Linked DNA regions of Saccharomyces cerevisiae S288C. Each later gene encodes a partner of the first gene's protein in a complex. Each region holds a gene or a part of one and is shown in the gene's direction. Other genes may lie near its edges.

Evidence for each region.
Region 2: MRP2 (region 1) and MRPS8 share a complex: the UniProt entries of both Saccharomyces cerevisiae proteins name them as parts of the mitochondrial small ribosomal subunit.
Region 3: MRP2 (region 1) and MRPS9 share a complex: the UniProt entries of both Saccharomyces cerevisiae proteins name them as parts of the mitochondrial small ribosomal subunit.
Region 4: MRP2 (region 1) and MRP4 share a complex: the UniProt entries of both Saccharomyces cerevisiae proteins name them as parts of the mitochondrial small ribosomal subunit.

What each region holds. Positions count from the first base shown.
Region 1 is NC_001148.4:875,065-878,598, reverse strand, and holds MRP2 (mitochondrial 37S ribosomal protein uS14m MRP2), read left to right. Parts: upstream 1-1,969; coding exon 1,970-2,317; downstream 2,318-3,534. Other genes in the region: mediator complex subunit NUT2, read right to left, coding at 50-523; MET16 (phosphoadenylyl-sulfate reductase (thioredoxin)), read left to right, coding at 967-1,752; Rho family GTPase RHO1, read right to left, coding at 2,602-3,231. UniProt on the Saccharomyces cerevisiae protein: Component of the mitochondrial ribosome (mitoribosome), a dedicated translation machinery responsible for the synthesis of mitochondrial genome-encoded proteins, including at least some of the essential transmembrane subunits of the mitochondrial respiratory chain.
Region 2 is NC_001145.3:569,894-573,550, forward strand, and holds MRPS8 (mitochondrial 37S ribosomal protein uS8m MRPS8), read left to right. Parts: upstream 1-2,354; coding exon 2,355-2,822; downstream 2,823-3,657. Other genes in the region: YMR155W (uncharacterized protein), read left to right, coding at 1-301; TPP1 (polynucleotide 3'-phosphatase), read right to left, coding at 407-1,123; AIM36 (Aim36p), read right to left, coding at 1,384-2,151; YMR158C-A (uncharacterized protein), read right to left, coding at 3,301-3,438. UniProt on the Saccharomyces cerevisiae protein: Component of the mitochondrial ribosome (mitoribosome), a dedicated translation machinery responsible for the synthesis of mitochondrial genome-encoded proteins, including at least some of the essential transmembrane subunits of the mitochondrial respiratory chain.
Region 3 is NC_001134.8:533,383-537,046, forward strand, and holds MRPS9 (mitochondrial 37S ribosomal protein uS9m MRPS9), read left to right. Parts: upstream 1-1,877; coding exon 1,878-2,714; downstream 2,715-3,664. Other genes in the region: YBR144C (uncharacterized protein), read right to left, coding at 1-167; alcohol dehydrogenase ADH5, read left to right, coding at 380-1,435; RTC2 (cationic amino acid transporter), read left to right, coding at 3,193-3,664. UniProt on the Saccharomyces cerevisiae protein: Component of the mitochondrial ribosome (mitoribosome), a dedicated translation machinery responsible for the synthesis of mitochondrial genome-encoded proteins, including at least some of the essential transmembrane subunits of the mitochondrial respiratory chain.
Region 4 is NC_001140.6:96,899-100,903, forward strand, and holds MRP4 (mitochondrial 37S ribosomal protein uS2m MRP4), read left to right. Parts: upstream 1-2,320; coding exon 2,321-3,505; downstream 3,506-4,005. Other genes in the region: mitogen-activated protein kinase kinase kinase kinase STE20, read right to left, coding at 1-1,039; SHU1 (Shu1p), read right to left, coding at 1,445-1,897; YHL005C (uncharacterized protein), read right to left, coding at 1,930-2,322; sphingosine N-acyltransferase LAG1, read right to left, coding at 3,750-4,005. UniProt on the Saccharomyces cerevisiae protein: Component of the mitochondrial ribosome (mitoribosome), a dedicated translation machinery responsible for the synthesis of mitochondrial genome-encoded proteins, including at least some of the essential transmembrane subunits of the mitochondrial respiratory chain.

The sequences.
Region 1 (3,534 bases):
CCATGAAATTTTTTTTTTCTAGCGAGAAAAAAAATCAGAAAAATTACTATTAGTGAGTATTGGAGACATTGTCAATGGGAGATGTTCTCTTTATAATATCTTCAACAGGTTCTTTCAACTCTGGAAATTCATCCACAATCTTGTCAGCAAGTGAATCTCTTAATTGCTTCAATCCATGCATCTTGCCTCTTTGATATTGGTTGGATCTTCTTATGGCTTCCACGAACTCTCTTGTGTAAATATCTGGATTTCTACCGTCCTCAATGTATTGAACAACTTCCAAGGGAATGTCCACCTTAGACAAGCTGGATTGAGGATCGTTGCTTCTCACGTTCAGCTTGTACAAGCGATCCACATTTCTTTGCAAGTTGGTGATCATTCCCTTGGTGGCTTCTGGAGTACCAGGAAAATCATATATCGAGACACCTAATTCAACGAAGGACTCAATAATCGAAGCCACTTGGTCTTGAGTAGTGGCCAGTTCTTGCTGCAATTGTTCATTGTTAGTGCTGTTTCCATTCATCTTATCGGTTTATTTTTCTATATATTTGCCTCTTTCTCAAACAGGAGTTAGTAGTTAAAAGTACGAAGTTCTTGTTCTTTAATGCGCGCTGACAAAAGAATTGGATAAAAGAGAATGGTGGGGGGACAAGAAGGAAATTTGTCCTAGTTTAACATGAATGGCATCTTGTTACCGGGTGGACATCACCTATTGATTCTAAATATCTTTACGGTTTATCATACTGTTCTTTATTCCGTCGTTATTCTTTTTATTTTTATCATCATTTCACGTGGCTAGTAAAAGAAAAGCCACAACATGACTCAGCAAATCTCGACAAAGTAAAAGCTCATAGAGATAGTATTATATTGATATAAAAAAAGTATACTGTACTGTTTGTAACCTTTTCAATGCTTTAAGATCAAAACTAAGGCCAGCAAAGGTATCAACCCATAGCAACTCATAAAATGAAGACCTATCATTTGAATAATGATATAATTGTCACACAAGAACAGTTGGATCATTGGAATGAACAACTAATCAAGCTGGAAACGCCACAGGAGATTATTGCATGGTCTATCGTAACGTTTCCTCACCTTTTCCAAACCACTGCATTTGGTTTGACTGGCTTGGTTACTATCGATATGTTGTCAAAGCTATCTGAAAAATACTACATGCCAGAACTATTATTTATAGACACTTTGCACCATTTCCCACAAACTTTAACACTAAAAAACGAGATTGAGAAAAAATACTACCAGCCTAAAAATCAAACCATTCACGTATATAAGCCGGATGGATGTGAATCGGAGGCAGATTTTGCCTCGAAATACGGGGATTTCTTATGGGAGAAAGATGATGACAAGTACGATTATCTGGCCAAAGTGGAACCTGCACATCGTGCCTACAAAGAGCTACATATAAGTGCTGTGTTTACTGGTAGAAGAAAATCACAAGGTTCTGCCCGCTCCCAACTGTCGATTATTGAAATAGACGAACTTAATGGAATCTTAAAAATAAATCCATTGATCAATTGGACGTTCGAGCAGGTTAAACAGTATATAGATGCAAACAATGTACCATACAACGAACTTTTGGACCTTGGATATAGATCCATTGGTGATTACCATTCCACACAACCCGTCAAGGAAGGTGAAGATGAGAGAGCAGGAAGATGGAAGGGCAAGGCCAAGACCGAGTGTGGAATTCATGAAGCCAGCCGATTCGCGCAATTTTTAAAGCAAGATGCCTAGATAGATAGAGTACGATATATAACCATATGTATGTGACTAATTATTTATTCCTTAATAACACCAATGATTACAACTTTCTAAAGCTGGCGGAGAATTCGCGCTGTACGAGAAAAGAGCGAAAACAGAGGAATATTCAAACTAAGAACCAAACTGCGATAAAGAGGATTGAAAGGAAAAACGAAAGAAAAGGTAAACTGACAAATATATACATTAACCGATGGGTAATTTCAGATTTCCTATAAAAACCAAGCTACCACCAGGGTTTATCAATGCTCGCATACTTAGGGATAACTTCAAAAGACAACAATTTAAAGAGAATGAAATCCTTGTTAAATCTTTGAAATTCATCGCTAGAAATATGAACCTTCCAACAAAACTGAGGTTGGAGGCTCAGTTAAAACTAAATGCATTGCCAAACTACATGAGATCTACGCAGATCAAAAATAGGTGCGTGGACTCTGGACATGCAAGATTTGTTCTAAGTGATTTTAGGTTGTGTAGGTATCAATTTAGAGAAAACGCTCTGAAGGGTAATTTGCCAGGTGTTAAGAAGGGTATTTGGTAAAAAATTTTATCGCGAAAGTATATATATATATATATATAGGATACGCACTTGTAAATAAATACATGATAATTTTTATTCTTCTTTAATAGATGATAATACTTACTGAGCAATACACTTATATGTAGAGAAGAATAAGATTATACACATACTGGGAGAAAAACAAGTAGCTATAGTTAGAGCTAAAATAACAAAAAAAGGCATACGTACATACAATGAGAAAAGGAATGGGATTGAAAAAGGGCAGTATCTGCCACTAAGTTAACGACTGAGAGATCGAGACACTCCTATAACAAGACACACTTCTTCTTCTTCTTTTCAGTAGTGTTCTTCTTAGCTTTACCATTCGTTTTAGATTTACCCATCAATGAAGCTCTAGTGGCGGCCTCAAACACTTCTCTGACACCATAACCAGTCTTGGCCGAACATTCGTAGTATCCGGTTGCGCCAATCTGGTCTGCTACAGATTGTCCCTCCTGTGATGTAACGGGTTGTTGACCTTCTTGTCTTAATTGTTCAATGGTTTGTGGGTCGTTTCTCAAATCCACTTTACAACCAACAAGAATAATTGGCACACCTTGACAGAAATGTAATACTTCGGCAATCCATTTTTCTTGTACATTCTCTAAAGAATCTGGAAGATCGATAGAGAAACAAATTAATACGACATTGGAGTCTGGGTATGACAATGGTCTTAGTCTATCATAATCTTCTTGACCAGCGGTATCCCATAGCGCTAGCTCTACACGACGCCCATCAACTTCAACATCTGCTACATAGTTTTCAAAGACAGTTGGTACGTAGACTTCTGGAAATTGGCCCTTGGAAAAGACGATTAATAAACATGTCTTACCACAGGCACCATCACCAACGATTACCAGCTTTCTTCTGATACTGTTACCAACTTGTTGTGACATCTTTCTAGTATAATTTTTAAAGTTCTATGATTTTCTATTAGTGCAACAATAAACCTCTAACAGCGATTCTTTTGTTTTATTAATTTTGTTCCTTTTTTGAGTTTTGTAACTTTAAGTTTGGGTTGTTCCAAAAATGTTTTTGCAATACTCAGAGGAATGATCGATGGTCGAAACGATATTAAAGACGAATTCCTGCTGGTAAAATAAATATATACGATTAGGATAAAGAAGTATTTGTATCAACTACTAAAACATGTAGTACCCAATACAAATCAAACAAAAATTGTATAATCTGTTTATTTT
Region 2 (3,657 bases), on another chromosome or scaffold:
CGTTCTATTTGGTACTTTCCCCTCCATAGTAGCAGATAGATTTGGCACAAATGGGTATAGTACGCTGTGGGGTGTTTTAACGACTGGTGGTGTATTTTCAGTGAGTGTTTTTACCGATATATTAGGTAGAGATTTCAAGGCAAATACAGGAGATGATGATGGGAACTGTAAAAAGGGAGTGCTTTGCTACAGCTATACTTTTATGGTTACGAAATATTGTGCCGCTTTTAATCTTTTGTTCGTTTTGGGGATAATTGGATATACGTACTATCGAAGAAGAGCAACTGCAAATTCCCTGTAGACGGTGTCATCCTGACATTGCTTTCATATTCTTTTTCACCATCACAAATGAACATTTTAAGAAATATTACTATATACTGGTATATATTCAACATTTTACAACGGACTACCCGTGAAATATTTCCTCAGGGTACTTGAATTCAACGTGCAAGTTTTCAGCAAACTTTATGTCAGAATCACTGAAGTCCTTTTTCCTCCCAGCAGCGTCACCGCAATAATATATCCAATTCAACTTGATGGGAGAAATTTGTTCTGAAACCCTGTATGCACTTTCCAGGTCCCTTTTAAAAAACTCTACCATTCCTGTCATTGGTTTTCGAACTTTTTCGAATATGTTAGGATCATTGTTATAACTTTCACCTAAGCTTGCGAATGTGATCTTACTATGATTTGCTGCAAAAGTTTTCGGCCTTTTAGGTGCTGCATATAGCCATAACCTGTGTGATAACGTTTCTCCTCTCTCATCGTTTTTGATTGCCTTTAAAAATAGCAAAATTTTATTAGTGTACTTGGTGCAACTTTTAGAAGTTCTTGGGACGGTGATGACACCACCTTGGTTAGAAAATATGACTATGACGGCCGTGGGATCATTATCAATGATATTACACAGGTAATCCAGGGTGGATTTCTTGGAGTTAAAATTAATAAACTGCCAATCACTTGCGCTTCTACTAAAACTTATATTGGGGGACTTTGGTTTGATAATTGTATGGTCCAGATCAAAGGCATAAACGTTTAGACCATGCTCGTCGTGATCAATGGATTGTGGAAACTTGGGCGTGAACTTAATCAGAAATGGCAGGATTGTTAATTTGTGGGACATGGGCTTTCCTTCGGTTCAGTTTTCTATGTTATCCATCTGATTTTGGGATGATTTTACAGATTAAAATCGATTTAAAGCCATACGCAAAAGAGGGGAAACGAAAGAAACGCACAGAATTCATTCACATAGATGAAGGGAACAGAAAATGAGAATGTTATATGACAGATAAGCAGCATATTCAGGACATATATCCAGATATATATACATATAAGCTATTAACAAGGAGAAGAAACCAAAAAAAAAAAAAAAAGAAAACATCCTCAGATGATATCAGCTTTACCTACAGTTTCGTAATATTTACAGACGTCAGAGCCACTCAATTTCCTCGGAACAAAGATTTTAGACACTATAGAAACCTCATTTTCAAATCTTGTTGCATCAGCAATCGAATGAGGAAAGTTCACAACTACTAGCTTGTCACCGGTCTTGAAGTTCTCTTTGAAATATCTACCCAAAAGCATGACCAACATACCGGTCGGCAAATTGTAAGCGTACGTGTCACACCCGTATTTTTTGTAGTATTCATTTAATAAAGCCTCATATCTATCATCCCTCAAGGTTCTGTAGTAATCGATGACCTTGACTGGATCGACAAACTGCAGCTCATTTATATCATCGCCTTGTGATTTCTGCAGTACCTTTCTAGTTTCTTCAATGCTGGGTGATAAGGAAAACTTTATATCGACCTCACCTTGTGGGAAGATAGCCACACGTCTTTTCAACCCTTTAACCACATTTTCGAATTCTTCTTCTGATAATGTTGTCTTCGGTTTGTTCTTATCTAAAGACTGTACTGTCTTGACAAATATCACTGTACCGATAATAGCAACAAGGAAAATTTTCTTAAATCCTGGAGCATCTATTTTATCTGATTTGTTAGACCTTTTAGTTGAGCTATCAGTTGATGAGTATCGTGCTCTCAAGAGCAATGGTGAAAATAAGGGTAATTGCTTTTGAGGCAACCCACCGCACACCTTGAAACAATGTCGGCAGCTTGCTAGAACGCTTTTTCTCAGTGGTCGCAACATGTAGGTAGTCTATTTATCTGGGCTCGTTATGTATTAATCTTCCTATGGGGATTCATTCATTTTAGCTTTACCGGCAGTCCTTACAAACCGCTTTTTGAAATTAAATCGACAAACTGAGGAAGAAGAACGGAAAAACAGAAGAAAGCCAAAGGCAAAGAAGCGACCACATACACCTTTTTTTCGATCTAAACTAATCGCCCAAAATGTCGTTGGTCAAACTTGCGAATACGTGTGCTCATTTACAGAACTGCTCGAAAGTTAGAGTTGCCTTAACATCGATCCCATATACGAAATTGCAGCTACAGTTTGCGTATAACCTTTACCAACAAGGGTTCTTATCGTCTTTACAGAAGGGATCGACTATGGGACCAGACAAAGATTTTGTTGAAGTAACACCAGACAATATCTCTACTAGAAGGCTTTGGGTTGGATTGAAGTATAGAGATAACAAACCTGTCCTCAGCAGCTGCAAATTAATTTCCAAACCAAATTCAAGAATACACCTGCCAATGGAAGACATGAAGAAACTATGCTCTGGCGTAACTATTAGAAACATCAAACCACTACAACCAGGAGAACTGATTCTAGTTCGAGCTCATAACAACATTATGGACATTAATGAAGCCATATCCAAAAAGTTGGATGGAGAAGTACTATGCAGAGTAAAATGAATAGAACAATCACATATGACCGTATTTATACGTGTAATTAAAAAATATACGGACCATGTAAATAATAATATTATAAAATGCAGACAATGATGATGAGTATAGTACTACAGTAACGTCCTTCATTCATTACCTTTACTAGCAGTGATAAAAAGTTTTGAAAAAAAATGTGCTCCAGGGGAGGTTCGAACTCTCGACCTTCAGATTATGAGACTGACGCTCTTCCTACTGAGCTACTGAAGCTGTCTGTTATGGAGGATTCTAGCATTAAATGCTTTAATACTCAATAAAAGCAACAATGGAGAATAATTTATCAGCAACTAAATTTATAGACGAAGATCCTACGCCAAATCTTAGCTCCTTTATATTTAATATTGAAAAACATATGAATTTTAGGTTGAATCCTCAAAATGGAATTGATATTTCTACATAATAGTACTACGATTATTCTTCACTCTGTTTTATATGTGTCATTATGTTATTACATTATCAATCCTTGCATTTCAGCTTCGTCTAACTTCCATGACAGTTTCTCATACCTTATGTCATCATCTAACACCGTACATGATAACATACTGGTAGTGTAACTACTAGTTGATAGATGATAGTTCATTTTCATTCCAACAATTGTCGTTAGAGATCGCTACATAATCAACCTTTGCACTTCAGCTTCCATTAAATCTGATTAATGCTTCTTAATCTTTAAGCCATCTTCTTGCACCATAAATAGCAATGAAACCATTTAGTCTTCTATTTTCCACTTAAAGAACCAGGTTTTTGCATTTCAGCCATCTTAAATTAGACGACGGTTTAATTTCGGTGTAGTATCATAAAATTT
Region 3 (3,664 bases), on another chromosome or scaffold:
AAATGACTGATGTCTACAGGACAGGGGCGCAATATATGTTCTCTGACATTGCACCTTTTGAATATATCATGTGTTTGTTCTGCTATCTGCTTGTAGAAGGGTACGCTAACAGAGCCGGCGGCATTGTAAAAAGTTCTCCTTTCGCGGAAGGATGAGTCAAAAAGCATGTGACAATGAAATAATCAAATTGTGACATCTGCTGACGCGGGATCGTTCCTTCGTATTGTCTAGATTGTAATCTATATAACATACTACGAATATAAAAGAGGGACTACAAGATATTTCTAGCGCAAACTACTGCTTTACTGTCTCACAATGTCTCTGATTGGAAGATACCTAAGAAAATTATTTAACTACATATCTACAAAATCAAAGCATCATGCCTTCGCAAGTCATTCCTGAAAAACAAAAGGCTATTGTCTTTTATGAGACAGATGGAAAATTGGAATATAAAGACGTCACAGTTCCGGAACCTAAGCCTAACGAAATTTTAGTCCACGTTAAATATTCTGGTGTTTGTCATAGTGACTTGCACGCGTGGCACGGTGATTGGCCATTTCAATTGAAATTTCCATTAATCGGTGGTCACGAAGGTGCTGGTGTTGTTGTTAAGTTGGGATCTAACGTTAAGGGCTGGAAAGTCGGTGATTTTGCAGGTATAAAATGGTTGAATGGGACTTGCATGTCCTGTGAATATTGTGAAGTAGGTAATGAATCTCAATGTCCTTATTTGGATGGTACTGGCTTCACACATGATGGTACTTTTCAAGAATACGCAACTGCCGATGCCGTTCAAGCTGCCCATATTCCACCAAACGTCAATCTTGCTGAAGTTGCCCCAATCTTGTGTGCAGGTATCACTGTTTATAAGGCGTTGAAAAGAGCCAATGTGATACCAGGCCAATGGGTCACTATATCCGGTGCATGCGGTGGCTTGGGTTCTCTGGCAATCCAATACGCCCTTGCTATGGGTTACAGGGTCATTGGTATCGATGGTGGTAATGCCAAGCGAAAGTTATTTGAACAATTAGGCGGAGAAATATTCATCGATTTCACGGAAGAAAAAGACATTGTTGGTGCTATAATAAAGGCCACTAATGGCGGTTCTCATGGAGTTATTAATGTGTCTGTTTCTGAAGCAGCTATCGAGGCTTCTACGAGGTATTGTAGGCCCAATGGTACTGTCGTCCTGGTTGGTATGCCAGCTCATGCTTACTGCAATTCCGATGTTTTCAATCAAGTTGTAAAATCAATCTCCATCGTTGGATCTTGTGTTGGAAATAGAGCTGATACAAGGGAGGCTTTAGATTTCTTCGCCAGAGGTTTGATCAAATCTCCGATCCACTTAGCTGGCCTATCGGATGTTCCTGAAATTTTTGCAAAGATGGAGAAGGGTGAAATTGTTGGTAGATATGTTGTTGAGACTTCTAAATGATCTTTTGTAACGAATTTGATGAATATATTTTTACTTTTTATATAAGCTATTTTGTAGATATTGACTTTTTACGATTTATTTGTAACAATGAGAATTACTCCATTTCTGAACTTCAGTAAATAGCGAGTGATTCTGTACTTTGCGAGAACCGGTGGACATTTGGTATTTTGCCTTACAAGAACAACCTATACAAACGTTTCAATATCTAATTCTTTGTAATCCATTGTTTTACGAGACATATAATGTGATATATAGATGAACTTTACGTATAAAATGATATATTTAAAACTAGCAACTGCGTGCGTAAGACAAACTGAAATAGGCCATTTACGGAAAAGAAATTTAATAATGTCGACTGGAAACTGAAACCAGGAGGAGTAGAAATTGGTTAAATTGATTAGCTAAAATTTACTCGTTGTGGACAGAGTTTGAGCCAAGCGGAATGTTTTCAAGGCTTTCTTTGTTTCGAAGGGCAGCTCTGGCTCCTGCCCCTATGAGAATGTCTTTTAGGACTATTTATCAAAAAACCGAGGATGAATTGCCCAGAAGGATCGTCCCAAAGCTAGCCACATTTTATTCGGCGAATCCTAACCATGAAGATCGTATTAATCGACTCGAAAGACTTCTAAGGAAATACATAAAACTGCCATCTCAGAACAACAATGAAGCACAACAAACAAAAGCTCCTTGGATTTCTTTCGATGAGTACGCTTTAATCGGCGGTGGTACGAAATTAAAGCCTACGCAATATACTCAGCTACTGTATATGTTGAATAAACTTCACAACATTGATCCTCAACTTACTAATGATGAAATCACATCCGAACTATCCCAATATTATAAAAAAAGTTCAATGCTTTCCAATAATATCAAAATCAAAACTTTAGATGAGTTTGGAAGAAGTATAGCCGTTGGAAAAAGGAAAAGTTCCACTGCGAAAGTATTCGTTGTTAGAGGTACAGGTGAGATATTAGTTAATGGTCGACAATTGAATGATTACTTCCTTAAGATGAAAGACAGAGAATCAATCATGTATCCACTTCAAGTGATCGAATCAGTTGGAAAGTACAATATTTTTGCGACAACGTCTGGAGGCGGACCTACGGGTCAGGCTGAATCAATCATGCACGCCATTGCGAAAGCTTTGGTTGTGTTCAATCCATTATTAAAATCCAGACTACATAAAGCTGGCGTCTTAACAAGAGATTACAGGCACGTCGAAAGAAAGAAGCCAGGAAAAAAGAAGGCAAGAAAGATGCCAACATGGGTCAAGAGATAGTCTTAGTGCATCTTGTTACCTCAATTTCGAACGGAAGCGTGCGTGCTCTGAGTTTTTTGACACATGCCAGAAGAAACGTTATATATTTTGCATACAACGCCGCCCAGCATTAGAAGCACAACTCTCGTTCGTTATTCCTGTAAATAAAGTTATATGTATTCGAATATTGCTCAGTTAGTATTTTCTTCTACTTACTGCACATAATACTTCATCTTTTTTTTCCTCTCACCCGCAAAGCAAAGGGGCCTTGCAGCAATGACTCAAATTCCATTGGAAAAAAGAAGGAGATGATAAGATGCAAATCAGAATAGATTTTACTATGACCGTTACATGTAAAAAGAGTCATAATATAAACCATAAATACTACAAATAACACCGGGTTCAGGCATATAAATAAACTATTCTCCTGTAATATCCCACAATATTTTGTTATAACCCAGACGTAATAGCCTCAAGCGAGCATCCCTAAATTTCTGCCATGAAGCTGATCCCAATTATTTTGAATGCTAAGAATCTCAGTGGGATGGCTGGATCCATATCAATATGCTGTTGGATTGTTGTGTTTGTACCACAGATTTATGAAAACTTCCGAAGACAGTCTGCGGAGGGATTATCACTGCTTTTCATTGTGTTGTGGCTATTAGGTGATATATTTAACGTCATGGGAGCTATGATGCAAAATTTACTCCCAACCATGATAATTTTAGCTGCTTACTATACATTGGCAGATTTAATTTTGTTAATACAGTGCATGTGGTATGACAAGGAGAAGAAGAGCATTTTACAAGAAGTCAAGAAAAATGTTGATCCTGTGCATTTGCCTCCAGCAAACCCCATAAATGAGACTGTCTTACAAGACGTTTTTAATGAATATGAGCCACTTTTGCCAAGGATAGAAGAAGAAGATAGCCAATCGTATAGCTCGCTTGAGCTTGGCAGAACAATAGTCG
Region 4 (4,005 bases), on another chromosome or scaffold:
GGATATGCTTGGCATTGTATGGCGTAGATATCCTCAAAGCGGTGGTTATAGAAGATGAGGAAGAATTATTGGACGACGATGAGGCCCTTTTATCATCCTGAGAATTTCTCTTTATATTCTGTACAAAGGACGTAAAGACATCTTTCATTCTTAGTGTACCACTATTTGAACCGCTTTTCCTTTTTTTCGAAGAGGAAGAATAATACGATTTTTCTGTTTGCTTTTTAGGTGGAGAGGAGTTTTTTAAAGGATTTTTCGAAGGAAAGCTTTTTTTCACAGAAACCGGTTTACTTTTTGCTTCAGGCTTGGACGGTTTAACTTTTGGTTTATGTTGCTTATGCTTAGGGTTCGAAAGCGAATGGGAAGCTGAATTGATCTGTCTTGGCGTGGTTGTCATCGATGGTTTAGAGATAACGGGAGTGGACACTGGTGTAGCCCTTCGTATATCAGTGGAGCTCTTATTCGAGTTTACTGTGGAAGATGCAACTGGCTGCTGGTGCTTCACTGTCGCGTTATTTTCTATAGTTTCTGTAGAATCTGTTAACGACAGTTTTGATAGTAAAGTGTCATTAAACTGGTGATCTGACTCGGACGCATTTATGGTAGAAAATGTGTTGTCAGCAGAATGATCCGGGGTTATATTGCTGGTATTTATGTTTGGAGTGACTGCTTCTAGAGATTTGGTTTCATCGATGTTAGAATGAGGACTCATGGATGAAGACATTCCACTGATGACAGAGGAGGAAGATACTCGGGTAAATTGAATAGGATCATCTAGTGAAACGACATTATTGTCATCATCATTGGTTGTCTCCGCGTTCTTCGCAGGATCCATGGATTTGTATCCACCAGCTTCATGGGCAGCATTAGTGCCTTTTTGTAAGGCATTGACGTTCAAAGTTCCAGTGGTCCTTGGTAATCGTAATCCATCGCCGCCATCGCCATTGCCGCCCATGGCCCTTTCATTGTCATTGCTGATACCGTTATCAAGACTGTCCTTGTCTGGTAGTTCCGATACAGCAGATGGATCATTGCTCATTTCTTGTATTAGTCGAGGATCTTGTGGGATATTTAGGATGGGGTGTGAGGCAGTGAAGGGAAGAAGTTTGGGTTGCTTGCTACCTCGCTCTAATTGTACGTACGGATGTATGTCTTTAAGAAAGTATGTAAGTGTGTGTAGTATGTGAGTATCTATGTAAGCATGCGTTGCTAATGCGAATTTACGGATGCCTCTTTTTGGTTTCGTATTTTTCCTCTCTGGCCAGGTGACTTTCTGAATTTTTCAGCTGCCAAAAGCGGTAGACTTTCGAATTCCCTCTCTTGGCCGTGTTTCGGGCCACGAGGCGAAAATTTTTTTTTTTTAATCGAAAAAAAAAGGAAAAAAAGATTAACGTTTCTTTTTCGTTCTATCGTCTTCTACGATATCGCATGTAACACAATGCAGCTATCTGATAATATGGTCCCAGAATCGCAATAGCCGGGCAGGCACGCTACTAGAAGGCGGTTCTGGATAGAATTCAACTTTAGATGGCAGACTGAGGCACTGCCGTAACACAAGGCTAAGTAGCCGCAGCTGTTGCGGTCCATCTTGTGTCGCGGTGAGATCCCACAATCCATAGACGAGTACATTAGAGTATTGCGGACCATTCGCCTGCGCTTGCATCCGGGTGAGGTACATGTATAAGTACTTTACCCGGCCCAAAAAAACTACGGATACCCGCTCCCGGCTTGCCACGTGACCTGCCACAGTGTTCGTAGTCACGTGCTCCTTCAGTCCTCCTAACTCTACGTACTTCCTGGCAGTGTCTCCAAGGACTATCACCAGTACGTTTGGGCTTGACTGATCCAGGCTCCAATCGCTTTCTACTAGCTGTTGCAACCGCTCTTCAAACTGCATATTGTATCCTGCTGCTGCTGTTGTTGCACCCGTTATTGCACCTGAGCATTAATATATGCGTATATGTATCTATCTATGTATATGTGTATGTGTAATATGTATACGTTTATGTTAATGCATAAACTGTAATGAAACGAATACTCACCCGCTTGCTCTCTCTCACGTATAACACACGCATACTGCCCTATTTTCCTGTTTATCTCGGTAAGAAAAGGCCGTGCCGGGTCAGAAAAGAGTGCAAGAAAAAAATCAATTCGGTAAGTGAATCCGAGAGATGAAATTTGTATGTCGTAGGTCACTGCTATATTTGATGGTAAATAATAATCAGTTCTGGCAAGTGTACATACGCTCGAGAGCCTGATTATCGCGGGGCACAAATACAGGTGATTCGAGAAATAAAAAGTGAGAAACGACTCTTTTCTCATGCAGAGACACGTTTTTGCGAGGAATTTCAGACGTCTTTCCTTATTGAGGAACCCTTCCCTTACCAAAAGGTTTCAGTCGTCAGCATCCGGTGCGGCCAACACCCCTAACAATAACGATGAGGTGATGCTGTTGCAACAGAAACTTTTGTATGATGAAATTAGATCAGAATTGAAGTCTCTATCTCAGGTACCAGAAGATGAAATATTACCTGAGTTGAAAAAGTCATTAGAGCAAGACAAACTCTCTGACAAAGAACAGCAGCTGGAGGCTGAATTGAGTGACTTTTTCAGAAATTATGCTCTGTTGAACAAGTTGTTTGACAGCAAGACATTAGATGGACAATCTTCTACAACGACAGCAGCAGCCACGCCAACCAAGCCTTACCCTAACCTTATACCTTCGGCCAATGACAAACCATATTCCTCTCAAGAACTTTTCTTGCGTCAACTAAACCATTCCATGCGTACCGCTAAATTGGGTGCCACTATTTCGAAGGTTTACTATCCTCATAAGGACATTTTCTATCCGCCCCTCCCAGAAAACATTACTGTTGAGAGCTTAATGTCTGCTGGTGTTCACTTGGGCCAGTCTACCTCACTTTGGAGGTCTTCCACACAATCCTACATATACGGTGAATATAAAGGTATTCACATAATAGATCTAAACCAAACTTTGTCCTATTTGAAGAGAGCCGCCAAGGTAGTAGAGGGCGTTTCGGAATCCGGTGGCATTATCCTATTTCTGGGTACAAGACAAGGCCAGAAAAGAGGGCTCGAGGAAGCTGCTAAGAAGACACATGGTTATTATGTGTCTACCAGATGGATCCCGGGTACTTTGACGAATTCTACAGAAATTTCAGGTATCTGGGAGAAGCAGGAAATCGACTCTAATGACAATCCCACCGAAAGAGCGTTATCACCGAATGAAACATCAAAGCAGGTTAAGCCTGACTTGCTGGTCGTATTAAATCCCACAGAAAATAGAAACGCTTTGTTAGAAGCAATTAAATCAAGGGTCCCAACTATCGCAATCATCGATACTGACTCCGAACCTTCTTTGGTGACCTACCCTATCCCAGGTAACGATGATTCATTGAGATCTGTCAATTTCTTACTAGGAGTCTTGGCGAGAGCTGGCCAAAGAGGCTTGCAAAATCGCTTGGCCAGAAATAACGAAAAATGAACACTTTTATTTTCTTTTGGCTTGTTAACCTAAACTTGTACATATGCCCATATATCCTTAAATATATATATATAGCCAACCCGAAGACGCTAAATAAACGCATTTTTTTTTTTTTTTACAGAATTATTACTTTCGTACTTGGGTTTATGCTTCTTATAACAACAACTATGAGCTATACCATGTTAACTTGGCCTTCATACAGGGGGGAAATCATATGATGATACGTATTCTCCTTAAGATACGTTTATTCACACTTTTCCTTAGATTCTTCATTTTCAGCGCTCTCATCAGAATCACTGTCACTTCTTTCGTCCTTTTGGATACCTTGCCATATCAATCTGTACAAGATTCTAAGAATTAAAAACAGCCAATACAGGTTAACTAATTGTAACGCAGCAATTAGTACAAATACAATTGGCAACGAAATCCAACATTTGTATTGTTGTGTGGCAAAATTCAACACATAATTACCTTCATGACGGAATTCTGTTAAGACTGAC